4 linked regions of the Lepisosteus oculatus genome follow. The main gene of each other region encodes a partner of the protein of the gene in region 3 in a complex. Links are inferred from orthologs where the notes say so. Each region holds a gene or a part of one and is shown on either strand. Other genes may lie near its edges. The genes, in order: cmc1, surf1, coa1 and tmem186.

What was found.
Region 1: coa1 (region 3) and cmc1 share a complex: the UniProt entries of both Homo sapiens proteins name them as parts of the MITRAC (mitochondrial translation regulation assembly intermediate of cytochrome c oxidase complex) complex. The link is inferred for Lepisosteus oculatus from reciprocal best matches to the Homo sapiens genes COA1 and CMC1.
Region 2: coa1 (region 3) and surf1 share a complex: the UniProt entries of both Homo sapiens proteins name them as parts of the MITRAC (mitochondrial translation regulation assembly intermediate of cytochrome c oxidase complex) complex. The link is inferred for Lepisosteus oculatus from reciprocal best matches to the Homo sapiens genes COA1 and SURF1.
Region 4: coa1 (region 3) and tmem186 share a complex: the UniProt entries of both Homo sapiens proteins name them as parts of the mitochondrial complex. The link is inferred for Lepisosteus oculatus from reciprocal best matches to the Homo sapiens genes COA1 and TMEM186.

Annotation. Positions count from the first base shown.
Region 1 is NC_090705.1:40,611,366-40,618,896, forward strand, and holds the start of cmc1 (COX assembly mitochondrial protein homolog), read left to right. Parts: upstream 1-4,527; 5' UTR 4,528-4,634; coding exon 4,635-4,653; intron 4,654-7,531. UniProt on the Homo sapiens protein: Component of the MITRAC (mitochondrial translation regulation assembly intermediate of cytochrome c oxidase complex) complex, that regulates cytochrome c oxidase assembly.
Region 2 is NC_090719.1:7,896,118-7,903,710, reverse strand, and holds the start of surf1 (surfeit locus protein 1), read right to left. Parts: upstream 3,017-7,593; 5' UTR 2,912-3,016; coding exon 2,849-2,911; intron 2,643-2,848; coding exon 2,561-2,642; intron 1,876-2,560; coding exon 1,748-1,875; intron 1,487-1,747; coding exon 1,404-1,486; intron 329-1,403; coding exon 137-328; intron 1-136. Other genes in the region: surf6 (surfeit locus protein 6), read left to right, coding at 3,689-3,782, 4,334-4,555, 5,006-5,091, 6,375-7,067. UniProt on the Homo sapiens protein: Component of the MITRAC (mitochondrial translation regulation assembly intermediate of cytochrome c oxidase complex) complex, that regulates cytochrome c oxidase assembly.
Region 3 is NC_090701.1:24,137,052-24,144,620, forward strand, and holds the start of coa1 (cytochrome c oxidase assembly factor 1 homolog), read right to left. Parts: upstream 3,012-7,569; 5' UTR 2,921-3,011; intron 918-2,920; 5' UTR 854-917; intron 1-853. UniProt on the Homo sapiens protein: Component of the MITRAC (mitochondrial translation regulation assembly intermediate of cytochrome c oxidase complex) complex, that regulates cytochrome c oxidase assembly.
Region 4 is NC_090714.1:13,662,895-13,669,017, reverse strand, and holds tmem186 (transmembrane protein 186), read right to left. Parts: upstream 2,147-6,123; 5' UTR 1,950-2,146; coding exon 1,947-1,949; intron 1,626-1,946; coding exon 915-1,625; 3' UTR 510-914; downstream 1-509. Other genes in the region: pmm2 (phosphomannomutase 2), read left to right, coding at 2,386-2,460, 2,850-2,961, 5,151-5,227, 5,454-5,545, 6,111-6,123. UniProt on the Homo sapiens protein: As part of the MCIA complex, required for efficient assembly of the mitochondrial complex I.

The sequences.
Region 1 (7,531 bases), on a different chromosome or scaffold from region 3:
CACAGACAGTGCTAGAATTTTTTTTTTCTCAAGGAAAGTTGTAGTGATGTAAAAAAAGATAGAAACCCACTTCCCATGTTGAATTCATGTATTTACTTTAAAGTATTTGCTGTGTTTGCAACCGAGCTTTTGTTAACACTGTAACATTGAGCAGTTACAGTTACTAGTGTTACTAGTAATATTATCAGCACCCACAGAAAACGTGCGATCGCTCTTCTGGACCAAGACTGAATTATCTCCTGTCATGGTCCAACACCTGCTATTTTGTAGAAAATATTTTTCCGTCTCAGAGCAGTGACATCTGCATTGTTATGATGGTTGTCTTTTATTTATTTAGCGTCTGTAGGTGGATAAGCTTGTGCTCTGCTTACGATGTTCTAAATTTGAGCTAAAAAATCCAATTTTATGTACTTTTTCTATTTCATAACGGCAGAGAACCCTTACGAGTTCTTTACATTACTGAAAAGCAAGGTCACTCAAACAACTGATAAAAAGCTACAATATGAGCCTAGAAACGTGAGGTGTGATGTTCCAGCACACCAGTTCTTGCTGAGAAGCTGCTCACCTGGACTGAAGCAAAAGAATTCAATGACTACAACATCCTACAGGGGAGTGGTATCGACTTCAGGCACACGGCGAGAGCTCAGATCTTTCATTTCAGATTGTTTGTGCCTTCGCGATGTAGAATTTACACCTGTGCTCTACGGTTCACTCCTCGTTTCATGAGTTGAAAATGTGGGCAGAAGCAAGGCTACAGATTCGTGGTAAAACCGAGACCGTGAGATAGGACACGGGCCTGCTCGGCCTCCAGTCACCCACTCTGTGGTGTACCTTTCATCTGAAGCCAGGCAGAGTCAAGAACAATAACGTTTTTCATCTTCTGGAACCTACCTCTACATCCTCTTTTGATAAACAAATTACACGGCCTGAATACCAGTAAACCCAGGCAGTTGAGGGCCTGAGAACAGAGTTTCCTATCCTGTCACATTGGTACAGTATATTGTGGGTCAGTCTACCAATCTGGACTTAAACATTCCTCGCGTACAACAACATTTTTTTAATACAGTTTCACCAGTTATTGTCCTCCTTGTAAGTGACAATTGATATTCGACCCAGCTTGGCTGTAACACTGCCAGAAAATGAAGGCATACAGTACCTGTAAGTGTAGTATGAAGAATCAAAGACGTGTAGTTTGTTTGCTAGATCGATTAATAATAATAATTAATAATTGCTTACACTTATATAGCGCTTTTCTGGACACTCCACTCAAAGCAAAGCATGGGTGTTACTCTGTGAACACGGGGCCACACTGTGGGCACTCTGGAATCAGTGTTATCCATCTAACCAGGTGTGACGTAGTTGGCATCAAGGTTTGTAGGGACAGCCCTACAATAAATTGGATTTAGGACCTCTGAATAAAAAACTGCCCCCTCAGTATTGCCCCTCACTATACAATTGGGTACAACAGGGCAATTTATCTGGTATTCATGTGGTTTAGGTTCCAACAGCAAGTGACAAGCTAGAGAGGAAGTCTCATTGTGATCAGGAGTACAGTGAGTTAGGTAATTTAGAAATGAATCTGAACTGTTCCATATCAGCCCATACTGAGCTGTATCTAACGAGACTGGGAAAGATGCCTGGCCTCGGTTTTGATCGGTTTGGCTAAACAGATCATCACGCAGAGAAATGCAAATCTTAGGTAGGTATTAATGCTGTCGAGCAATGACACTTGTGGTATCGAGCCTGTTTCCTGAAAGTCTGGGCTGTACTGGGTCTGGGTATGTTCTGTCCGAACAGTGAACAGATCATTCTAAATATGGGAGAACAAAAAGTGTAATTGTGAAGTAACGTTTAAAAACCAAAGAAAATGGGTGCAGAGTGGCTTCTTATTAGAGAGCAAGAGTATTCTTCTTTTTAGAGATTACAGCATGCAGCAGAAATACATTCCTCAATACAAGTTAGAAATGACCATAAGTACCTTATTTTAGGCACAACCTTAGACAACACCTTAGGAACAAGAAAGCTCTTGGCACCCCTCTACCATTATTTTAATCTGAAGACAGGACGACATCGCGAACGTGCTGGAAATGGAAGATGGAAAGTCTCCAAGCTGTATTGCATTCATGGGCTGGTGATGCCAGGCTGTTAGCGACCCAGATGGAGGACATAACCCTCACTGAAAGTTCAAAGCCCCCTATGTCGCTCCCTGAAGAGCTGATTCTAACTGCTGCCAGCAGAAAACCATTATAACATGCTATTGGCAGCACGGACCGCACAGAAAAAAAAGACTCATTCCAGTTTACAGAATCCGATCGTGTCCGTTCGTTCTATCACAAAGACAAGCACTAGTATTAAATGGTAATGCTAATTCTATACTAATACTAATTCTAAGCAATAGTAATAAATGTGCATAGCCACAACTCCTTATCTGAAAAGGCTAGTTATTTCCATTTACCAATACATATTAAACTTTGATCTGTGTGATTGTACAGCAAGCTATGAAAAAACAATAAGAAAGAACAAAAAGTTCTTGCAAATATTAGCACACTTATTGCTTCTGAAAACACTTGTTACCTTAAAAGAATTAGATCCCTGAAAATTTAAAGTATCTTGTGAATGGTTAGATTTTATTTCTATTTTACAGATTCGTTTATTAGATCACTTTATTGGCCATATACAATTTCTTGTATAAGGAATTTGTCTTTTTGCAGACCCCAGCTTGCTCTCCATGAGACACACAGACAGGGAGAGAAGTTTGGGGTCAGATCGCAGGGTCTGCCATTTATACGGCGCCCCTGGAGCAGATGGGGTTAAGGGCCTTGCTCAGGGGCCCAACAGAGTAGGATTCCTCTGCCGGCAGCAGGATACGAACCAGCAACCTACCAACCACAGGCACAGAGCCACTTATTGAGGTTTGTGGTATAGTATTACCTTACATTACTTGATTATACCTTCAACATATAGTTGTCCCTCTGGTACTTTTAGTATGCCTCCCATCAGCATGTCTTTGACGTTTGTAAATGTTCTGAAATGGATACAATGAATAAAGATTGCCTTTCTGCTGAGAACTGAATGGCCGAACAAGCAGTTTTACACTGCCATTCAATTTGCCATGTTTTAGCGACAAATTGTGTTGCGGATTAGTATGGATGGTCACAGAGATGACTTTGAATTGAAGATTTTATTCCACTTAAAACTCCACATGAGGACACTTTAAGCCCTGTTGCATATAAAAATAAATTAAAATCACACTACATTTTTAGATCAATTTAATCTGTCCTTTACTGATTTTATAATCCAAAAATCTATTTTCTCAAAATATAATTAAAGCATGTGACTGAAGCCGATAGTTTGTCTTTTTTCCCAAACACTGGCTAGATGAGATCGTTGGATCAATAAACTACACATTTCTAATAATCCCCATCTCTGAACTGGCTTCGTCACTCTGCTCTCCTCCCCACTGAGAGCTGGTGTGTGGGGAGAGTACTGGTGCATCATCCAGGTGGGGCTGCACACTGCTGGGGGTGGAGGGGATCCCCATTACCTGTAAAGCACTTTGAGTGGAGTGTCCAGAAAAGCACTATATAAGTGTAAGCAATTATTATTATTATTATTATTATTATGCAAAGGAACAATAGGTTTATTCCATGCTGAAAAAAAGAAGAAAGAGAACACAACGTTTTGGCCGTGGAGCCTTCTTCAGGTGTCAATAATAATAATAATAATAATAATAATAATAATAATAATAATAATAATAATAATTATTATTATTATTATTATTATTATTATGATCAAACTGGCCACATAGACCAAGTGAGTACCAGTCTTAAATTTTTGTAAACCAGAAAGAGAGGCACTGGGCCAATTGCCTCACAGCCCTGACAGATTACGACTACAGGGGAATCAACGTGTTGGGATCCCGGTATTGATTACATGACCGATCTGACGTCCATGCACAAATGAAACGGGGTAAATATTATTAATCAAAACACCCTCTAATAATAATAAGTTTCATTCTGGTCTTGTTAATTGCAACGATGCACTGCATTTAACGTCGGCGTCTTTCTAAAGGGCAGAAACGTTCTGAATGAAGCCAACATCAGCCTGCGTTACGCAATTACTCATCGACTTTTTTTTTTAACCGGTGAAAGATCCAGTCGGAGTTTCGTTTTCTGAAATGACCAGGAGGGAAGAAAAGTAACGCACCTAAAAAAGGGGTGCTCCCTGACCGCATTAAACGTCAGCATAGAACTTGATCCGTGTAACATTAATGTAAGGGTATACTGGCGAGGTAAAACGTTTTAAACTCTGGGTCAAGTCTCGGCTCTTAGGCGGCAGAGGCAGCTGTTGTGCACCACTCCGCTTACTTTCTTAAGGCGTTTTTTAAGGATGCTATTAACCTGTATCGGGACACCCGCTCTTGCACAACCCGGAGTACCTGCCAGCAGGGCTTGTGCTGCGCATCCCCACCGGCGCAGCTCCCGTCGGCACCGGAGCCCCGGATTGGCCGAGCGGCGCCCGGGGAAGGCGGGACTTCTGGTGCGGATGTGAAAGGTCACTTTGAAACCAGCATGGTCGGTGCGGACGGGGGACTGGCTTCTCGTTAGCAACCCGAGATTCAAATTCCTTTACCCATGGAGTCAGCCAAAACAGGTACCGTAAACATTGCGCGACGTCTCATAAAGGGCTGGAGAAAAAATGCTGGAGTTATCGCCGGAGTCCCCTCCCCCCCTCACCCCCCGTGCTGTTTGAAACATTTCATATAGCAAACATTTGTAACAGCATCAGGGTGTTCAAGACAGTTCATAGAGCCCGTTCAAATGAATATTACTGGCATGTCATTCGGCCCTTATGATCAGTTCTTGGTGATGGTAACGCAAAGCCTTATTCGTCTTTTAGGATTGCGAAAAAGGCACAGTGGAGTAGACCCTCCGGTGTCAGATGGTATGGCGCTTATCGTGTTTCTAAACTGCGGTTGTTTACTATGTGAACTTCTTTACTGCGTCCTTATGACGTGTTTTGGATACTTTAAAAAAACAACGAGCAGTTTGCGCGACACACGATCTTTTTGTGCGGGTGGTTTTACAATTGGGGTGTCTTACCTGCAGATATCAGTTTTGCTGTTCAGATGGAAACATTGGGGTTTTTAAAAAAATGTTTCGGGGTTTCATGAAGTTAACACAGAACAGGGCAGACACCCTTTTGCTGTTTAAAGTCACCTATACAAACACTGTAATAAAAGGAATAGACAAAGTTCATAGAAACATTGTCCCCAGCGCTTTTGAAAGGCCCGATTACATTATCAGGTGATTAAACGTGTTGTAATCATTAATAAATTATCTTGGGAATATGCATTGCTTGCTTCAGTACCAACAATAAAGTAAGAAATGTGATTCTCCAGGCCTGATTCTGATATTTGACCTAAAACCCTTCAAGGAAGAATATCTGAATGTGTGTGTCTTATTACCTCATATAGTATGTGCACAGCTTCTGCAAGTAAAAACAAAAACTCCCCAGAGCTTTTTCTGATGGTCTCGCTAAATAATATAGTTTCCTGTGACATCAAGAAGCATAAACACAGAAGCACTGCAGCCACTAAGAACTGTAGGTCAACCTCAAGGAGCTGCTTGACCTACTAGCCTGACCAGAGCTCTTTCCATCGACCAGAAAGATATGTGCAAAAGCAAGAATGAAACGTAATTTCAGAATGGTTTCTGTGTTGTCTAATCTGTCTGTGTTGTTTGTACTTCCATGTCACCTGAGCGTTGGTGTGTGCTGTCATTCATTCCAGTTAAGGGCATCTGTTAAGCACATGCTAGTAATAATTGCAAGGGGCTGATGGTATAGCATTTTAACCCGGCTGCACTCGGGCTCATTCAGTTCAATCCAGTACTCGTCTATAAGGCAGTTGTCAACACTTGAGTTGTTCCCAGCAAGGTATTGCAGATTTCTAAACCTGAGCCAGAATAACACTCTCCATAGGCTAGAAATGGGAACCTTTTTTAAGCTGGGGAGCCTATAGCAGGACTTGATCTAATTACAGGGTCAATCAGGGATATCGATGACTGGATGGGGGCAAACTGTTAACTTTTTTTAAACCATATTTCCTGCAGTCTGCAATGAAAGTCATGAAGAATGCTGCATGAACAAGGGAGATCAGTCAATATTAATTAGCAGCATACAACGTCAAAAGCATTACATTATGTAGTAAATAAGCATTTCGCGACATAGTCAAGACTGTCCCAGACAATGCAGATATTTTCTGAATATCGTATTGCAAAAGTAATAGAAGTTATGTTAAAATGCGTAAATGCGTGGTGTGTGAGTTGTCATGCAAAACTGCTCTAAAATGAGCAATCACAAGGCACAATACAATAAATCTGAAAACAAATGTGCTTATCTGGCATTGCGCATCACTGATCTTGGCCGCAAGTGCCTTATCTTTTGTGTTTGTAGTTGCACACAATGGTTCACGGTACTTGTGTGCAGTCACTATTAGCCATCCCTCAGATCAGGTGTTAAACTGAGATCATAACTGCTGGGTCTGGAGCAGAGGTTCCCAGTGCTGGTTTCTGCTCCAGCCATGACACAATCCGGCCCTTCCTTGACTTAAATATTACTGCCTTCATAATGTGATTAATTTGAGCTGTTTGTGCCCAGCTCTTAAACGTGCTGGGAGCTTTAACCATTGTTGTTTTGTAAGTGAAATAAAATCCCTGGTTTGTGACTGGAAACAAAATGCTGTTTTTGAATCAATTGAAGCAACTGCTTAGATCAAGTAAGGCTTCAGTGATCTAATGTAGGCGGGAGGGAATGAAAACTAGCCACGAACTAGATCTTAATGACGCTGTTCCTAAGAGCAGAGGCGTTAACCCTGGTGTCCTGACTCAATTCCCCAGTTTGGCCTACTGACACTTACCTGTTCATGTCAACGGGGCAGGAAGTCATCTCTCAGCGCCTCACCTGACCTGCTGTGCAGAGGAGCTGCTGGCTCAACACGAGCGCCCCATGTCTCCCACAGGGGTCCTGTGCTTCAGGGAAGGATGAGGGTTGTACCCTCCTATACGTAAAGCATTCCAAGCCCCTTCAGGAAGAACGTTCTGGAATTACTGTTTTCCAGTGCTGTCTTAACTGTATTGTCTTCAGTCTCTAGTGGCTAGTGAAAAAATACACATAATATAAATATGAAATATAGCGGTTCGGTGACATGCTATATAGCATGCGTGGTCATATAAAGTTGTAAACTACTGGTAAGACAACCCTTAATCATTAAATCTTACTCTGTTTTGTAGTTTTGTGTGGTAGAGGATGGCTGAGTTTGTAGTCTTAAGATCAAACATGCTGTTATGGCTTGTCCCTTCTGGGCAAGGTCAGAAAACAGTATATTAAAGGTTCCAGATGACAGGAGGCCGTTAAACGAATCTAGCCTCTTTGGTAGTTGGTAGCTAATTGGTCTGATTATCTCTTCCAGACCTTTCTTCAAAGAAGCCAGGGTTCTGTCTCCAATAAAATAGCTGATTAGCTTGTTTCA
Region 2 (7,593 bases), on a different chromosome or scaffold from region 3:
GAACAGTCGTTGAGAGGAAAACTACTCCATTAAGCTTCAGAAATGCCCTCCTTCAAGCATATTGTATCCATATTGTATCTTCTCCATGCTCATTCATTAGAAGGATGTTTTCAGCAGGCGAATCGGCGCTATATACCCCAGGTCGGAGCAGTGGAAGGGTGTGATGACGTTGGCTCCGCTCCCTCCACTCGACATGATCCTGCCGGCCTCCTGGGCCTCGCGCTCGGGGTCCACGGGGGAGCGCGGCAGCACGTACAGCTCCCGCGAGTGGTCGAAGCGGCCGCGCGCCTTCACCCGCTGGTACTCCAGGGCCTTCAGCTCCAGGAGGCTGGGGAGACAGGCACGCGCAGAGGCGATCGGTGAATACGCAACCCCAGTGTCGAACACCGGCTCCGAGTGACAGCCGTGCTCACCTCACGCCTTATAGATACTTGAAAGAAACAAGGATAATGGCAGAAGAAGCTAAAAATTATTAGATCAGAGGCCAGAGATGCATGCCTTCATTAATTCATCAAGGTGTCAAGCGTGCAAGAATAATAATTCCTAACACTTATATAGAGCCTTACAGGTAATGGGGACTCCCCTCCACCACCACCAATGTGTAGCCCCCCCCGGATGATGTGACAGCAGCCATAGTGCACCAGTACGCTCACCACACATCGTCTCTAAGTGGGGAGGAGAGCAGAGTAATGAAGCCAGTCCATAGATGGGGATTATTAGGAGGCCATGATTGGTAAAGGCCAATGGGAAATTTGGTCAGGATGCCGGGGTTACACCCCTACTCTTTTCCAGAAACACCCTGGGATTTTTAATGACCACAGAGAGTCAGGACCTCAACTTTATGTCTCATCCAAAGGATGGTGCCTTTTGACAGTATAGTGTCCCCGTCACTATACTGGGGCATTAGGACCTACATAGACCGCAGGGTGAACGCCCCCTGCTGGCCCCACTAACACCTCTTCCAGCAGCAGCCTTTGCTTTCCCAGGAGGTCTCCCATCCAGGTACTGTCCAGGCTCACACCTGCTGAGCTTCAGTGGGCTGCCAACTGTGATTTGCAGGGTGATATGGCTGCTGGCTATAAAGCGTTTGATATGTGGACTGCAGCTTGTATAACTGCTTTAATGTTGGACCTACAGAGCTCACAAGTATGTACGAAGTGATGAAATTTGATCTTACGAACCAATGTTCGTAATATCCTAGCTAAGTAACAGCGGGGTGGCAGTCCTGGCCCTAGAGGGCAGTTGAGTCTGTCCAAAGCAGCAGCACCTAAAGAGGTCAGAAAAGCTGTTAACTGGTCCCACTGATCTGTTAAGAGCTGGGGGGGGGAATGAACACCCGCAGACACACCGACTCTCCAGGCCTAGTGTTGTTAGTGCTCGTAGCAGCATTCTCCACCACTTACTCCAGAGGGAGGTCAATCGGCTCTGCAGCAGTCCGGCTCTGCAGGTCCTCGATCAGTTTTAGTTTCCATTTCCTCCGCTGAACCTGAAGGAAAAATAAAAAAAAGATCTCTTCCCATGTTCTCCTTCATTAATGACACGCGGTGCACCATTCTCAGATCCGCAAATCAGGAAACTGGTAGAGATATGCAAAGGTGAACTGTACTACAGTTGAAATGGTCAACTAGCTTTTGGCAGTGTGTCATTGCTATGATTTAGGATTATGTACTGTAGGTGCAAAACTACAATTCAAAATCTAATGATAGGTATGTGTGTGGCGTATAGCTTTCTGAAAATGTCGGTATACCTGCCATGTTCCCAGGCCAAAGGTGGTGGCTGGAATCAGCAGAAGGAACCATTTGAGTAAGGTGTCGTTTCCCTTCTCTGTCTCAGCCGCTGTGGGGCTGGACTGTGAGTACGGTCGGACATTCCTCCCTAATGACAGAAACAAGAGCAGCGGGTACTTCTAAAACAGACACTGAGCCTGGATAGAGCCTGACCATGCAACTAAACTCTTGTCATAAACATCAGTTCAAACAAAGACTTTTAATCCCAAAACACAGGCATACAAGAACATTCACCAAATGTACAAAATGTAAGTCTGAAAAAAATCAATGTTGAGTATGGAAATCAGGTTATAACACCACCTGCAAACCTGGGTTACTTCCTGTTGTTTAGTTAAAAGTACTTGTTTGGAAACCATCACCTATTCATTTTCAGTAAGTTCGTGCTCCTGAGGGTCACAGCTAGGTGGGGCTTATCCGGGAGGCTCCTCCGCAGTTTCTACAATTTGGAGTCGTTAAACAAATCCACCCAGCATATCTGTGGAAGGTGGAAGGGAACTTGCAAATAGGAGCACAACGTGCAAAATTCCACACAGACAGTCTCTCAAGGTCAGAACTGAACCCAGTACTATACTTTGGGTAGTGTACTTAAGGCCACCTCAAACCCAACAGCAGAATCTTGTGCTGATTACCTAAGTAAGCCCTGACACCCCTTGGAGAAATATCAAATTCGCCTCTTCTTTACCATTTCAAATTGTACAGCATGTAAATGCTCAAACAGACACGGCTTTTCAGGAACTTTCCCCTTCCTGATAGGAACAAGAAAGAAACCTTACCCTCACAATTCCTTAAATTAAGAAGCGTGGAAAAACCGAAGCGTCGTCCACAAACCGTCCCTTTGGCGCATAAGTGATGGGTCTGAAACAACATTCAAAAACGCACGACATCACCCTACATCTCTTATAGAATAAGAGGACAGGCTCGCCTTTGCTTACTCTAGTCGTGAAAAACAGTAATACTTTGTAAAAAAAAATTGCATAACCTACATGTAAACAGAGACCACATTACAATGTCGCTCAAATTTATATCATTTAATTTTATGCAAAACTAGCGTAACTACTTACATTGTTTCTTAAAATCATCAGAGCTCTGGTAGAAGACATTAAGACTAATTTGATCCTACTCATTTTGGCGAAAAAGCAAACTACAGTACAAACTATATCTGAAGACACATTTGTACGGCCACAAGGTTGTTTTCCGGGGACTGGTGATACAGTAACTACTTCCGACAGCAAAGCATAGCTCCTCCTCATCCGTCTCTAGCTCGAAGCGGAATTCGATCTGTATCAATCAAGTCCAGCATGGTTAATCACGGCTGTAAAAGTGGCAGACTTATGTTTAGCTAATCTGTTGTACGTTATCATTAGTTTAAAAAAAAAAACAAGCCGAAGGGGAACAGAGGAAAAAAACGTTTTCTGTTTCTCCAGCCTTGTGTTTGCTCGATGATGGCGTGCTTCGATTGCTTACGTCTTGCCATGTGGGTCCTTTAACAGAAGATCGCTTGTACTACACGCAGGTATTGGGAACTGTGTAAACTGCTTGATAACTGTTATTATTACAAGAAGGTAACATGCTCGACTGATATTTATTGTTAACGAATTTTTCCGATCGAATATATGTTTTGGAGATCGAGCTGGTAGCCCCAGTTACACAAGTCTAGCATTTCAGTTGAGCTTCACTTTATGATACACGTGTATTGAGTGGTAATCGTTCTCAGGTTTTCTGAAACACTTTTAAACATAGTTGCTAGAAATACAAGAGTACTTCAGTAAAACAAAGAACTTTAACATAATGCGGTTAATTAACACATTATTATCTTATTATACGAAATGTTGAGCCTGTCAACGCCTTTCATGTGTAAAATGAGTTCTAAATCTTGCTTGTCTTTCTGGCTTTTTAAAGAAATGGCGAGTCTTGTTTCAAAGGACGCATACCTTCAAAAACTAGCAAGTAAAGTGTGTGCAACGCAGAATCAAGAACCGCGAAAACGACCCTTTGGTAATATTTCAGTTTTTCTTTTCTTTTACACATTAGGAGACCATTATAATTATAGACATTATTCGTGTTTTCATTATAAGGGCAGAGGTTAACGGTTGTGTGTTTATGAGACAGGCTGCCCAGCTACATTGTTGTAAATCCTTGGTACGTCAAGGATCATCTGGATGAAATTCTCCGACCAATTAGCTACTAGCAGCCAAGCTAGATAGACTGGACGGCCTCATTATAACATTTTTTTTTTATGATTGACTACTTGTCAGGTTTCATGGCAGTCTATTATATATTATAGTGTATTTGTCAGTACATGAACACGAGTCTCATCTCAGTGTGGTATTTTGTCATAACTAAAGCAATTTGAAAACACAACAGATATCAGGAGATTATACAGGTCACAAGGAGATTGTTCCATTCTCCGCAGTATATAAATTAGATTGTTTTTTTTAGGTTATTGCACTGTTACATGGAGTATATATCCTACGTTCTAATTTTGATACACACTTCAGTAAGAAACATTACCAAATGTAACCAACATTATTATTAAAACGCCCTAGTTCCATACAGGAGCCGGGAGGCAGATCAGCCAAAGAAGAAAAAAAAGGAGAAACCAAATGGAAAAAAGACTTCAGAAGCCAAGCAAAGGAAGCCTGTAGTGAACACCACAAAGAAAGGATCTTCTCAGCCAGCATCCAGCAAAGCTCAGACCACTGTGCTTGATGGCACCAGTGGGACAGTTCTGAATGGGACAGCTGTCAAGACAGCACAGGCACCCAAAGGTGAGAATTAAAATATTGTATGAAGTCATTTGAAAGCTCTTGCTTTGACAGCTTTCAAATAACAACAGTGTAATTTAGTAGCACCAAAGACATGATTGACAGTTTTGGATGTTGATGCTATGTTATAGCTTTGTTAGGTTTATTTTTTGTTATTTTGGTCGGGAACCTCAAACCTCTCAAAAGTTGGAAAATATTGTTTAGTGTCCACTCACTTAATTTTGTCTCTGGTCCAACTTGCTTTTAGTTATTGTATTTTTATAAATCTTATGTAAAAGTATGAACATGTTTTTTTCAGACCATCAGTTTGACAGTGTGCTGTTGTTTACACAGCTTTTGTGATTCATATTTTATCCATTGTTGTTTTGTATTTTATGTAATTCAAGTGAAAACAATCCTAAAATTGTTTAGGCAGGTGGTACTAGTCTTGAAGGTGTTGCGTTTCCTTTACAGATGCAAAGACTGCCACTGACTCCTTTTTTGCTGTGGATATTTTGCGTCAGAGACTGCATGAAAAGATTGAAGAGTCCCGTGGCAATGTATGTATATTTCAGCTAGGGATGTTCCCATATTTAAAGAGAATAATTTAATTGTTTAATTGAAAATGTTGAATGCAGCAGTTTTAGATGCCTAAGATTTCACTGTTCTGTTATCTGTAGTTACTGTAGTGTCAAACAAATGACAAAGTTTAGGTGTCTGTGAAGCAGAAGTCCTTTATTCATATGCATATGGAAGTCCGGCTTGCAACCACCAGACTTAAAAAATAAGTAGCTGAAGATGGTCCTTTATACCTTAAAACACAAAGAGTTACAATGACATATTCCAAATAAATGATAAGACAGCAACACCTGCCAATTAATTATATCTAAGTTGCAGACTAGACAACAGTTAGTTATTTTCATATTCTGGGCATACAGCCAGCTTACCAAATACATGCCCTTATCTTACTGACCAAGGACAGGCAGCATCTTAATATACATTTGAGCACAAAGCCTACGTCAAGCCACTAGACTGCATAGTTTGCAAAAACATACAAAAACAAGAAAATGATATGATTATCTCACTTCCCGGGCATCTCTCTTATCTCTTAATTTTTCATTACTCTGTAGTACTCTTAGATTTTACTTTCTTTATAAATCCTGAACCATGATAATAAACACACCCAGACAGCTTGGAATCTGATTGTTTTAGGATTTTGCTTATCCCTAGACCCTAAAGATCTGGAACAACTAAACTGAATGAAACAAGCAATTTTTGTAAAGTGATATAGAGATCATTTGGAAAAAGGATACTGAGGACTTTTCAATCTTCTAGAGTTTCATTAATGGACCAGATTACTTGTTTAATTGATCAGTAATGTTTAAGTGGTTTTAATCTTTTATAGAAAATCATGAGTCGGGGTTAGAAATGAGACCAACAGGATTGGAGCTTGGAGTAGGGTAGATTGGGGTTCAGGATCAGGAATGGAGACACTTGTTCTACACATCACCCTTTCTGGGGGTGTGAGACATGCCAGATTGTGCAGAAGGCTAAAACAAAATTTAAACAAATTGAGCACAAGCACGTAAGCTACATTCTTTCATCAAACCCAGGCATTTAAGTTTAAAAGAAGTGTGTCTTTTTTCATGTCTTTTCAATTTTACTGCAAAACGAAAATAAATGTACAATGAGAGGGATTCAACTGTAGAGTTAAGAGATATCTGAGGTTTAAAGAACTGAATTACTTCAGTGATTTTTGCTAAGGGGTGTGAGAAAAGCATTTGAGAATCAAAGGGGTGCAGGCGGCAGTAAGGAGGGGTAATCGCTGCCTTATGTCTTTCAGGGAAGTTCCAAGGGGCTGTCAGCTGAAGACTTGGCAAAGAAACGTGCACGAAGAAAGCAGGAGAGGGAGCGCAAGAAGAGGAAGAGGAAAGAGATAAGGATGAAGAAGCTCGCAGAGAAAACCGGAGAAGGTGAGACAGCTGAGGAGTCCAAGGGCGATGGGGCGAAAGTCGAGAATCCAGGTGGCACCGGAGGAAGAGGAGGAGCGGAGACCTCAATAGTCTTCAACAAGGTGGACCTGAGCGGGGAGTACGTGAGCAAAGCCCAGCAGAAGAAGGAGAAGAGGAAGAAGATCAAGGGCAACGTGACGCCGCTGACGGGGAAGAACTACAAGCAGCTCCTGGACCGCGTGGAGGCCCGGAAGGCAAAAGTGGAGGAGCTGCGGAGCAAAGACGAGGAGAAGGCCAAGGAGCTGGAGGAGAAGATCAAGTGGACCAACGTGCTGTACAAGGCCGAGGGCCTGAAGATCAAGGACAACGAGGAGCTCCTGCGCCGCTCCCTCAAGCGGAAGGAGAAAATGCGTGCCCAGAAGAAGAGGCGGTGGGAGCAGCGCAGCGAGAACGTGCTGGAGAAGATGCAGAACCGCCAGGACAAGCGGCGCAAGAACATCCAGAAGAAGAAGCAAAGCAAAGCGGAGAAACGCAAGGACCGAGCCCGCAAAAAGGGCCGGATCCTACCAGAGGACCTGAAGTAGGCCCAACGGGAATGTGAACGAAGCACAGTATTATCGTTCTGGGCCAGCTCATTTCCCCCCCCACTTAATCAAATATGGTTTTAATTTGTTTCCACGTCCTGTGGGAAATGTCATTCACTGCCGCTGTGTGGTGGTCTCCTCTGAAGGTGGCAGCTCACTCCCACTGATTCATAGCAAACCCCCATACCAGAGTTGTGTACATCTACTGTTTCAACATGTACAGTACAGGAGTGAGAAGACTCGTTTTTTAAAAAAAAAAATGTGAATAGGCTAATAAAAAAATGATAACAACACTTTGGGAAATTTTATTTCCTTCATGTTGCGAGAAGATTGTTTTTGTCATCTGTAGTTGTCTTATGAGACTGAGGTGTTAATACCAGTAGATAGGAGGTAGGTAGTGCCAGCATTGGAAAAATGTCAGCCAGTTGCCGTCGATTATTTCACAGTAAGTTGCACTTTAGGAATACAGTAAATAAAGCTTAATTGCTGTTTTAAAAGTGGAAGACAAGTTTGAAATAAAAGGTTT
Region 3 (7,569 bases):
CTTTATTATGTCATAATGTCAGACTTCATTATAACATTAAGGTATTAAGGGAGAAATATTGGAAAATATGTCTAGTACTGATCACCCTAATGAGTTATCATTAACTATACAGGTTAAAGCAACTTTTTGCATTTTGAATCTTGCTTTCTAATCAGTCTGTGTCTACATACCACGCTTCTTTTTTCATAAGATGGACATATATATTGCATGATATGCACATACCACATGTTAGGAACTCTTTATTGTAGAGGAACTTTTTTAACCATGTGTAAACCCTAAAATTGTTTATATATTACATGTACTAATGATATTGTGAAATATACAGTCATTAAAGATATTTAAGAATTCCTGATGGTCACAACTACGATTTGCAATTTGGTACTGCTGTTAGTGTAAGAAATAAAACCGTATTTGACATTTAACTTTACAGGTATTAACCTTATTAACTTGAAAGTCATAGTGTGGGCCAGATCCTGTTTTGGACCACTGTCCATCATATAAGCTCCACTAAACAGGTTTTTCTACGTTATCGAGCAGGAACAAATGATAATGATAAAATGAACATCCACAGAAATACAAACACACTTTACAGTTGAATGTTCTTGTGACATCTGTGTTTCTACTACAAATACAGAACTACTAAAATGGCTTCTTCATTACTCAATTAAATTGCTTTCCATATTAGCTCAGAAGACGAAATTATCCTGCACCAAAGACTGCCTGAAAGCTTTGTTTGATGAAACACCGGACTGCTCTTTAGAAATGAAAAAAATATATTCTCAAGGAGGAAAGAGGAATTCAGTTCAGAAGAGGATGATAAAGAGATTTCCGAATGCCAGCTAGTTATGGTTACCTTGTCTGGTAGCTCTACAAGTCACAGATTAAAAAAAAAACCCAGATAACGTTTTCGCCTGACCCTGCAAAGAGAAAAATGCATGAATGAAAAAGATACTGCCAGATTAATTACTGTAGTGTTAAACTGAAAGGTTATATCTCTTTCCCTAGAATAATTAAAAACTACACACTGAAAGTGCAGCTTTCAAATTGCTTGGACCAACATACAGAAAACAATGTTTACAAACAAATGCTTAAGTTGTTCTGAAAACCTTTGCATGATATTAAGTATATTAAATTTATGCAACCATCATTTAAAATGACAAGCCTCTGTAGAAAAAAAGCAGGAAGATAAGTTCAGACAAAAAAAGGCGTTATGTTACGGAAGAAACTAATAGTGTCAACCTTTATTATACTGTTATGATGTACTGCCATCTAGTGGACAAAAATACTATTGCTGCCGCAGAACATGTTGGGTTGGCAGTGTTGGCATCAAGAACAGATAGAAAGACAGATAATATTGGCTAATAATAATCATGGTTACATGAACATGAAATTTAGCTACTACCCAGTGGAAAGTGGCCAGAGCACATGTACTGAAGCTATCTAATCAGACTATGATAATCTGAGACTTGTTATCCTCATAAAACAAGGGAGATGGAGTAGAAGGTTCCTGGTGTAAAGGGTTTTTTTTTAGATGCAAGAACTTAAATTGGGATGACTGCAACGGTTTGTAAGAACTAAACTGGAAGATTATCTCTATGGCAATAAGCTTAGAGTCAACATGGAAAATTAACAGAAAACAGAGTAGTACAGAAATAATATCATACAATTGAATCAACGGCTGTTAAGTTACTGCCTGCAGCTCCTTTAGCAAATCACCTGTAATGGCTACATGGACACAAAGTTTTCACTGTATTAAGCATAACTGCACTACTTGCATATACTGCATACACCATGGACACATAGCAGCTCTGCTCATATTGAGTTTTATTCAATTTCTATTACATCTATAATTATGTAACCTTATTTTCATAACCTCAATTTTGTGATTTTTGTGTTTTTGTGATTTTTGTGATTCTTGTGATTTTCGTGAGCTTGCAGAAAAGACATTTCATTGCCAGCAACTACTGCTGCACGCTGTATTGTTGTGCATTGGATAAATAAACTTTGATTTGATTTGATTTAAAACCTTACCATTCACTTGTAAGAGTTAGGTCAGAAAACTGTGCACAACTAGCTTCCTCTGATTTATAAACTTTCTTATGTTCTTATTCACTAATAAGTAATGACAACATGTCAAAATTAAAGGAATTACACAATTACCACCTCTTATCTGAAGACTTTGTTGTCTTCAAGCAGAAGATCATTTTAAATATACAGGCATATTTGATCACTAAAAGTAGTCATTTAAGATGGACAAATCTTTCATCTTTAATATACTCTAGCACTCCACACCTTCCAGAGTGGACAGATACAGTTACCTCCTCCTGCCTTTTTTCTTTATAACAATAGATAGATACGGTAGATCCCCCTTTCTGTATCTTTGCTTTGTGTCCATCCAAGAAGATGTCCCTTTTTCTCTTTCTCTCAGGACTTAACTCCCTTCCCCAGTGACTAGCATGTAAAAAGGACAATTAACATCCTCCAGTCTATTTTTCCCCACTCCTGGTCGACACCAAACTTGTTTCACCACTATACCAATATCACCTACTGTGGGGTAGGTGAAGTATTGTATTTCTAACATTTTTAGCGCTGAACATGGATTTATACTGTAGTAAATGTATACTGTAATTCCGACGTTAGAGCTACGATAAACATTTTAGTATACCTCATGTTAAATGTAGTATCATCTTATCAAAGATCAATATTAATGTGACACGGTGCAATAGACGGTTCTATGAAAATGATCAAATCAATCCAGTACAGAAGCTGGACTAGATATGAGTTGTCTGCATCGTAATTAATTTAAATTAGTTTTAAAACGAAATAAACAGAATTCACGTTGGGTAACATGAATTGTGCCTGTATCAAAAACCAAAACTTGTCAATGAATAAGTGACATTTAAATCGCACAGTGACTTACACAATTTTTTTACACATCCTCCAAGGGGGCAGCCATTTTAGTCTTGAATGTCATATCTTTATTAACAAGAAGACAAGCTAAGTGGTTAACATGAGCACAACATTGGGGTCAGTTTTCTTAACACTAAAATATTTTCACATCCCAAACATCATTAATGTTCTAGGGGGCATTATGTAATCAAAAGGCTTGCGTATCTACTCCATGCACCCCGACCTAAGTCCTTTTGTTATATCGTGATAGGAGATACTATGCAGAAACGCCCGGGTGTGGTTACGTCACTGAAAACCTCTCCTGTTTGACATGTGCGAGTTATGAAAGTTGTATCTAAATTAGTTACATCATTTAGCGATCAGTTACAGCAGTTGACAGGAGCGACAGCGAAGAGAAGGACGATAAAAGACGGGTAAGCTACAGTAGGTGAATAGCTTTAATGAACGCCACATGGCAAAGATGGAAAAAATAAAGAATGCATCATCACTGCTTTCAGTTTTAGTGTTGTGTAACCTCTGCAAATTGGTTTATGCAGTCTTTAAGTTTATTGTCTATATCTTGTTTGATTTCGTCTATTTTAATCTAGTATTGTTGAAAAACACTCACACATTTAATATTTGGTAACGGTTAAGCAATGTTTCTTTATAGAGTTTGTTTTAGGCTTGCCACTGCATCAATGTGAGCTGTAAAATTGTTACATAACCCAAAGTGTATTTTATTAAATACTGTCTGCCTGCGTCCTCATGTTAAAAGTATGTAAAAAGTTTTGTTTAGCTTTTCATGCCTCACTTTTACCAAGAGTTCCCTAAGTAAGATCTGTCTGGTATTATTAGTATTGGGTTATGAACAGTTTTTATATGAATTTTCGTGATGATTGATGTATCCTTGGCCGATGTAGAAATGTAATATATTTTAAAAACATCATATTGTAAGAGACTCCCGGGTGTTTATTGAGTTATGACAGAAAGAGATGTGAAACTGCTGTATTATGCGTTTTAGTAGTTATTAATACAATGTTGGTCAATTTCTTTGGTCAGACAGAAACCCTTAGCTTGCAGATTTTTTTTAATTAAAAGGTTTCGCTTGACAGTTGTTGGATATGACACACTTGAGGTCGTGGATGTATGCACCTCTTTTCCTTTGCACGAGTCATCTGCTTTATGGAAACATTTGAGACAGTGGATGTCAGATAATCCGAGTGTTGTCCAAAAAATATTTGAAATGACCTTTTAGGTTATAAGAGGCGTTCTAACAGTGATGGATCAATTAATTTACAGGGCTTCACAAGATAATCCGAATATTCAAGATAATGATTTGTCGCTATTCGTCTTGGCTTTGTTTTGGATTTATTTTAGCGGTCTACAGTACGCTTTAGGTTTTGTGTGTTTCGACTTTTTTGATGGCTTCACCATTTGACCTGGGTGTACTTTCAGGTTTTTCGGCAGTGTTTGATGGAAATGTACAGCACTGTAGCGAGCCCTTTACCTGAATTAATACATATTTTACTTTAGTATTTTTCGGGTCTGTATAAAATCCCAAGTTTCATTAAGTCGAAAAAAGGTCTAAAACCGAACACCACGACTTTCCATCTATGAATTGGCTTCATTACTCTGCTCTCCTCCCCACTGATACTATCAGTGATAGCTGATGTGCGGTGAGCGTTCTGGCCCACTATGGCTGCCGTCGCATCATCCAGGTGGATGCTGCACATTGGTGGTGGTGGAGGGGAGTCCCCACTACCTGTAAAGCGCTTTGAGTGGAGTGTCCATAAAAGCGCTATATAAGTGTAAGCAATTATTATTATTATTATTATTATTATTATTATTATTATTATTATTATTATTATAAGATGTCCAAGATTTCCTGAATATGTGGAATTGGCTAAGAATCTGGAATAGTCTTTTTATTTAGCTCCCTGTAGTAAAGGCACTGTCGAAATACATCATACTATTTACAAAAACAAATGACAGAAGAGGAAGTTCAGGTGGGTAGCTGCGTCAGCATGCGTAGGCTGCAAAGGAACAAGTAATAGGTTTATTCCATGCTGAAAAGAGAAGAAAGAAAACAACGTTTCGCTGTGGAGCCTTCTTCAGCTGAAGAACAGAGGAGGAAGATTGTTTTGACTTGGTTCTACATCCTGTGGCAATTAAAACTTCTAAATTCATGTTTTTTGTATGTACATCTATGTTTTTTGTTTTTTGGCAGTGGAGCCTTCTTCAGGTGTAAGAAGGACAGGGCAGTAAGCAAAGGTAATATAGCATAGGAGAACAAAAGCTGGGAGAGAGGAGGGGCGAGAGGTGGGAGCGTGGGACAGACAAAGTGGCCAATCAGGTAGTATGATGTCACGATAGGTGAAGAGAGGTGTGAAATGAAACCTACAATGAAAAGAGAGAATTTAGAAGAAAATCAGTCTGTCATTGAGAGGAAAAAGGTGTGATCCTAACTGCAGGATACGTTTAGTTTCTGTAGTCTTTCTGATGTTTGAATTAGGAAAACCAGCTTTGAGAACACAAATGGAGAGATTAGTGTGATCATGGCCGTCAGAGGTGAAATGAGAAACAATGGGCTTGGAGAAATCTTTAATCTTTACAGCCCTGGCACGTTCTCTGAAGCAGTCTCCGAGTCTCCTTCCTGTTTACTGCAAGAAATACAGTAAATAAGGTTGCTGGAGGTACAAGATGTCATCCGAGTGATCTGGAATTGTTCTGAGAGGCCTTGAATGAGTGTGGTGTTAGATACATTCTTGCAGCTGATACAACGAGCTCTGTTGCAAGGGAAAGTGCCTGGTGTGGATGGTTGCTGAGGGCGGTCAAGGGAGCTGTGAACAAGAAGGTTACGCAGATTAGGTGGTTGACGATATGAGATGATGTTTCGGTCAGAAAAGAGAGCCCCAATGCAGGGATCATCCTGTAGGATGGAAAAATTGTCGTTAATAGCCCTGGGGATAGGAAGTGAGGGTGGTGGGGAAGCACCAAAGGAATGCGGTTGTTAAGGCGGAAATTCTTGATTGAGTTGATGGTCCAAGGGATGTTTTGGGCTCAGGCAAGGGCTCTGTCAATAACACTGCTAGGGTATCCTCTGTTGATGCTAAAAGAGTACATTTTGAGGGGTTGGTTCTGGAAATCGATGTCGCTGCAGAGTCGTCGTAGCCGAGGGAACTGTGAAAAGGGGAGAGAGTTTTTAGTGTGTTTGGGGTGAAATAAGCTATACAGGAGATAGTTGTGTGAATCAGTGGGTTTGTAATAGACTGAAGTAGAGAGTCAGGGATAGTTAATGGAGAAGTTGATGTCTAGAAACGGAAGAGTAGTGGAAGATATGTTAACTGTATATTTGAGTGACGGGTGGAAGTTGGTGAAGTTTTGTTTTTAACAGAAAAAAAAAACATTTCTGACAATTTGGTCTTTGGTCTTCATAGAGATGACTTAAGTTAATTGGGGTTTACCAATTCACCATTACAGAACTGTTACAAGAATTTGTATCTGTTTCTCAGTGCCCATCTACCTTAGGACATCTACCTTAAGAAGATTTTTGTTTTGTCTTTCCATGTGAATCCTTTTAAATATCGATTTCAGATTTTTACTGCAGTCTTCCCAGTAAGGTTCTGCTTCTCAGTGTAATGTGCTCAGTAAGTTTGCCAACAGGAGTAAGTTTGTTAAGGAGTAAACTTCTACGCTGTTGTGTGCTGGGGGTGCAGCATCATGGCAAGAGATGTAAGTAGACTCAATAAACTCATCAAGAAGGCTGGCTCTGTTTTGGGGCTGAGCCGTGACCCCCCTGGAGGTGGTGACAGAGAGAAGATTGCTGACCAAGCTCACAGCCATCATTAACAATGCATCTCATCCGCTACATGGGACTGTTATTAGACAGCGGAGCACTTTTAGTAACAGACTGCTCCAGCTACGGTGTTCAAGGGAACGTTTCCACAGGTCCTTCCTCCCGGCGGCTGTCAGGGTGTATAACACTGCCCTAGGCTAGGCTGTCTATGGACAGCATGTTGCACTAATGTAATTTTTGGACACTGCAGTAATATACTGTTTATACTGTGGTACTTTCAATCTGTATATACCTATGCACATTTTGCACAAAATCTATATTGTATTGCTTTACAATAAAATGGAGCGGTCACTATTATTATGTATCAGTGCTATGGTAGATATTTTCCAGTGAGCGGATATTACCTCTGTTTCAACAGACTTCAGGAAGAGTTTTCATTATGGTCTATGACTAACATTTGTTTCTTTGAGAATAATTGGTAGAATACTCTAGATATTTATCTTATCTGCTTCTAGTGTCTGTAATAATTTCCTGTGCTAATATTTATTAAAATAGAAATTTCTGTCATTGTCTGAGGCATGTTTTCTGTTCACATAGACGTACACAACGTGAAAAGCTTATCTGCAGAACTGAAGTAATGTTTTTCAAGGGAATGGACAGGGCCATTGTGGGTTGTGATTCACACAAGAGGAAAGGGGGACCCTGGATACAGTCCTACAACCTGACTCCCAGTCTCATAGTGGTGGCAGTTTCCCTTTCTAGCTCAGGCTGTGTGGATCTATATTATAACATTATGGAAGACATAGAAAAAGATTCTTTTAACAAACATTTTGAGAATTCCTTTTATCCTTTCAGAGGTATTGCATCCTGGCTGATATTTTTAA
Region 4 (6,123 bases), on a different chromosome or scaffold from region 3:
AGTACCACCATCCACGGTCTCCTCTATATATTGTAATTGTGTTTTATCATGTGTATTCTTTTTATTTATTGTTGTTGTCATTCTGTAAAGTGCTATGAAAAGCCACCTTTAAAGGCGCTATATAAAATAAAGTTTATTATTATTATTATAAACTGAGATATGCCCATTCATGCAGACGGCACGGCTGTGGAGTGTGGGAGTAAACGGGAGCACCAGGCAAACGCCCACAAGGTAGCCGAGGACCCAGACAAGCTGGACAATCGAATCCAGCACACAGGTGTAGAGGCCGCAGCGCGGTCGCACCAAGGAAACCCAAGAAAAAGGATTCTCTTCCGCGCAGCACTCGTGCACATCCCATTTCAAGTGTGGAGTGGCGGTCAGGGCTCCGGCCTTGTAACCGGAAGGGTATGGGTTCAAATCCCAAGCCAGACATTGTTGGTGTAGCCATGGGTAAAGGTGCTGCTCCCATAAAATACATTCGTACCCATTTATAGCGCTAGGTAAGTCAATTTGGGTTAAATTAATCTTTAATTCATACACATACTTTAATTCATGATCTAATTAAGCACACAAGAAGGCCTTTTTTCAACACTATATTACATACCACCACTATATGCAAACAGTGTCAGAGGTCCAGCCCCCGACCCAGATAGGTCCTGTTCTTTTTCGGCATCTTCACCCGGCGGCTACAGATCAGCCTCCCGGCCGGAGAACGATTTGCAAAGCTGGGCCGTAAGGAAATGCCAAAGAGCAGCACCGCTACAGGCATTCCCAGCCAAAACATCCACGATTCTAGTCACTGCAATACTGGATAGTGGCAGTTTTCCTCCGACAGATTAAGTCAAGTGTTTCATTCTGCCGATCCTTCGCCTTTCACCGGGAAACCATTTTAAAACAATGCTTTCTTTGGAGTGTCAGGGGACAGGACCAAAGACTTCCACGAATGCCCGTTTGTCCACAACCTGTCCCAGGCGAATGGTGAAGTACAGGACCTCAGGGTGGCTGTAGCGCTTAAACCGCAGCAACATCTCATTGTGGGGGTCCCCCGTATCCCCGAGGGTCATGATATCCGCCACCGGGACATACTGATCCCGTCTTTGACCCCAGAAGGTCAGGTGGGATACCTTCAGGACGGTTTTAGAGTTGTTAATGTACATCATCCCGATGATGTGCCGGAGGTAGTGGCTCAAAGAGAACAGCATCACGGTGGCAAAGACAGCAACGCCTGTGGCGTAGCTGACGAGGGTGCCGGAGCACAGTCCCTGCGAGAACAGGTAGTATACAGGAGGCAGCGTAACCACGGTGATCCCAGTCTGGAGCAGCTTGAGTCGGGACACTGCCCTGAGGACCCTGATGGCTGGAAGCCTGTAGATCAGGGAGAATTTCTCATTGGAGCGGTTTTCATTGGAGCGGTCTTGGTGGGCTCCAGTTAGCAGCTGGCTGTGCACCCTAAGTGTGGTCCATACTGTGCGTTCCTGCATCGAAGCGAGGGGACGGCGTTCGTGCTGGTGAGGGGTGAAGGAACGGCCACCGACCAGACATCTCTCACGATGCGCTGAAGCAGAAGCGCCGGGCCACACACACGGCGAAGCACGAACGGTTCGCAGAGACAGTATTGATCTGTACTTTAAAGGAGATAAGCGGGGGAAAAGTTTGCTTATTATAGACTCGTGTACTTGACTAATTTATTGTTAATAATGAATAAACCCAAGCATGAAGGTTAAGACACAGACCAAGATTAACATGTCAAATACCACAAAACAGGTGAACTAGCTAACAGTATTCTATTCGACTGGGCTGTAATAAACGTGTCACAATCACAAACGTCTCTTCACACATATCAGAGCAACCCTCCTGAGCATAATAAAAGTATTTGCTAAACAATGCATCATCCTAAACGTAATTGCTTCAGATATTAAAAGGAACGATGGTGCAAAGTCAATTACCATCACAGCAGACCGAAGTTGCAAGCCAAGAGGGATGACATCATAAACGCTCCGGGGGGAAACAAAGCCTTCTTCGACAGAGTACCGAATTCATCGAATTCCCCCTGATCCTTATTTTTTTAAGAACGTTATTGAATCAAACAAAATCGTGTATATGATACTGCTTACTATTAACCGCAAAACGGACATACATTGTTTTTCTAGAGTTCGGTTACTTCAACCATCTCTAAAATAATGTCTTTGTAGTCCACATCCGGACTCGCTAGCTCATTTCCGCCGATGGTGAACCGAAACTGTACTACATGTCCCAGAGTGACACGTAATCTTTTCCTGGTGGAAGAGGTCTAGTGTGACTGTGATATTTGACTTTATTTTCACGTTAATCACAATCAAGACTATCTTTTCATTATTTGAAACAAGCAGTCAGACAGTTAAGAAAATGGCACCATCTGGGAAGGATACGACAACCCTCTGCTTGTTCGATGTCGATGGGACTCTAACTGCAGCAAGACAGGTGAGTTGTAAATATTTCGAGCTGGTTTTCCTGAAATGCTCGTTCTTCTTTGGAGAAGCTAAAGATGATCCTGAAAATGTGAAGGGGTCGTCGCGGGATGCTGGGGTATTCAGTTTCAGAAGGCGCGGATTAATGAGGATGACGAGAACGTTTAAATCAGCAAAAATAAAGACGTGTTTCCATTCTGATCTTTCCAAGCCAGTCACTCTGATGTCGAAGTGGCACCGTTGATTTTAGTTTCTGGCTAGCTTTTACGAACATATTTAGACAACACAGAAAGAAAAGGGAAAAGCAAACTGACTTAGAGTTCTTTGAACAATCAACAGTAATCAATAGTTAAAAATAGGGTTTTTCGTTCTTAAATTCTTATGAAACTTTCCCCTCCACAGAAAGTCACCCCTGACATGGATGAGTTTCTTCAGAGGCTGAGAAAGAGGGTGCGAGTTGGAGTAGTTGGGGGATCTGATTTTGAAAAGATCAAAGAGCAGCTCGGAGCAGATGGTGAGTATTGACAAGCCATTAATCATATTGATTGATTAATCATATTGCAAGTCAGTTGGAAGATGAGTGATGGTAATTTGCCCACCCTGAGGCAAAAGCAATACAATGACTTTGTTGTGATCTAGGTTAACTATCTGAAGCCAATCCAGGCTATTAATGCTGTTTTTTCTTTAATAATTATAAAGTATTACATTTAGCAGCTCCAGAATCTGTACAAATGCATGATATTTGTAGGAAGGTACAAGCAACCATACCTGCTGCTAAATGCATCCTTTGTTGTAAAGATATTGTATTTCACATTTGAACCTACACTGGGAACAAAGCCTTGTAAATCTAAGGTATTGTAATTTATGCCTATTTGATCTGAAGATTTTTGAGTGGAGGGGTTTTTAGTACAATTACCTCTCTGCAGGAAGGCTCTCAGGTGCTGGTCAAGACTGAAAGCCTGAGATAATGATCAGTGTAGCTGCAGTATTTGTAGGATATAGCATTAATAACTAAAGTATTAGTATAGTATTAGTAACTAAAGTAGTGTATACAAGGAGGAGAAAAAAAGGTAAATGTAAGAAATTCTGTGCATATGATTATATACGATCTCCAGTCTGTTCACTTTGCACAGATAATTATAAACCGCAATTTAAAATGAGCTGATGGGTTTTTTGACAGTCCAGACAACGTCATACATTTCGGGATTGAAAAGCGGCGAATTAAACTAACACCGCTTAAATCACGTTTCTTAATGAGTAATATGAAAATAAACTACGTGTAATTCATCTAGTTAGACATTACCACGTTTTTACACGCACTGTTACTCCAAACGATTGAGTGGTTGTAAGCGTTTCCGTGCAGAGCTATTAAATTTCCATTTAAAGAGATCTATTGGCATTACCAGTGGACTATAATTTGACCAAAGTAATGACATTTTCAAACGTTCAGAACAACAATTAAATGTTAATTTGAGAGGCTCACCGTGTATCTCAGCCAATCAGAGGGCTGCCTGTGATGGGCGTGACGTGGGTGTGTCCGCTGTGCGCAAACCGGATTGCAGGAGATTGAACCTTGACGTCTTTAAAGGTTCATTACAGTTCACCTGTTTGTTCCTGTTTTCCTACCACCATGTATAGGCGTTCAATTATAAAATCTGCATTTCCGTATTAAGAGAATAGGATTCATTTTGGGCCCAGTTTTTTGTTCAATAAAATACGAGACGATTGTGGTTTGCACAGCGTGTTCATGGGCAGGTAAACATCAAAAACGTCAAGAATAGCCCCGCAAAATATGCCAGCGCTATTAATAATCGTAGCTGAGTGTTCCTTATAAAACGTATATTGCCCTGACAGGTTGACTAACGTTTGTTCAAAGTGAAGGAGATGAAGGAGTTTAAAGAAAGCACAAAGTGACACTATAAAATACTCTCATCAATGTCTGCTCTTCAGAAGCACATAAATCGAGACCACGTTTTCCATGAAACATCAATATTCACTATCCAAAGAAGATTCAGATCACCTTTGTTCATTTTATAACATTTACTTGTTTTGGCTAATTAAGAAGTATTGTCCTTTGCCACAGAATGGCTAGTGAGATTTGGTGGGCCTGCAATCAAATTAGTAAACTACCCAGCTGTATAATTGGGTACAAGTGAAAGTTGCTTTGACTGAAAGCATCAGACAAATGAATTTGTAATATTTAATTCCTGCTCATCTGACTCTGCCCTGTGTTGGATTCAGCTGAGAAATCGTTATGAGAAAGGACTCAGTGAACACGGCAGGGGTGTGCTAATGGGCGAGATGAGAAGATGGGAATTGTGCACAGCACCCTGGAGGCCACAGCATCAAAGCAAAGCCTTCTGCCTGTACAGCTCTGTTCAGTTTAATGAGCAGGGGGCTGTCACAGAGTCTGTATCTCTGTGCCCAGTGCCTTATCAAAAGTGAAGAGCAGGCACCTAATGGTACAAGGAGTTCTCCTTCAGTTTGCTTATTTTGATATTTCATCTTGTCTAGTCGAGTACAGAAAGCCCACTCTGCCTCTTCTTCACAGCCCAGTGTCTCTGCAACAACCAGTGCAAATCTCCCAGAGAAGCTGTTGTGTCAGAGATGTTGGGCTAGAAAACCCAATACTTTCCACAGAGCTGTGCAGAAGGAGAGCTGTTCATTGCTGTTCTTTATCACTGAACCTTTTTTTGTTGGCAGTGGTGGAAAAGGTGGATTATGTGTTTGCTGAGAATGGATTAGTTGCCTACAGAGATGGAAAACTGTTGTCTGTTCAGGTAGGGATCATCTCCTGACAACCTTAAAACACAAACTGACACCGCTGAACTGCTAATACCAGCTATAGAGCACGGCATCATTAGAAATGACCATAATATACTTAAATCATATTAAGAGAATTGTCATGGAACATGTTGGAAAAATGAACTTTTTCCACACTGTTCTTTCTGTGATTTTTAGGACAGCTGAAGTGATCATTTGTTGTTGTTTTTTAATTCTTTTCAGAGCATTCAAGCACATCTTGGCGAGGAACTGCTCCAAGACTTTATAAATTACTGCCTGAATTACATGGCAAAGATAAAATTGCCCAAGAAAAGGTGTGATGGTCCCCAGATCTTCCTGACCACATTCGAACTGCAAACCATGGTCTTACTTAAGCTCTTCGTGCTAAAGCATAAAAATATAAAAAGGGTTACAAATGAGAGAGTGCAGTTCAGTCCATCCAGCCATTTCTTTAAAGCAGTCAGGGTGTCGGTTTCATCACTATGGCTGGGTAGCTTGTACCAGACTCCCACGACGCCTCTTAATCTTATATTTCAATGAACTTCCATGTAGTTTTTACGTTGTAAAACCTTCTTGTTTTAGTCACATGACTTTTAAATCACTTTTCTATGCCTAAAGCTAAGATTATTATGCAGAGTTCAGTTTGTTTCAGCCTTATCAGTGCCGGTGTTCCGGTTTCAAGTTCCACACATGAATACCATTTGTGAACAGCATAGTTTTAACAGGCAAATTGATATAGCCAGGCTGTTTGAAATTTGGTACTCTGTCTCTTCACGTTTGGAGCTTTGCTTTAATTAACTCGGCAGTCGTACAGGGCTGATTGACTCTCAGCAGGTCAGCTCGTAATTCGTGCTGATGACTTCCGTTTCCTCCCTGCAGGGGCACGTTCATC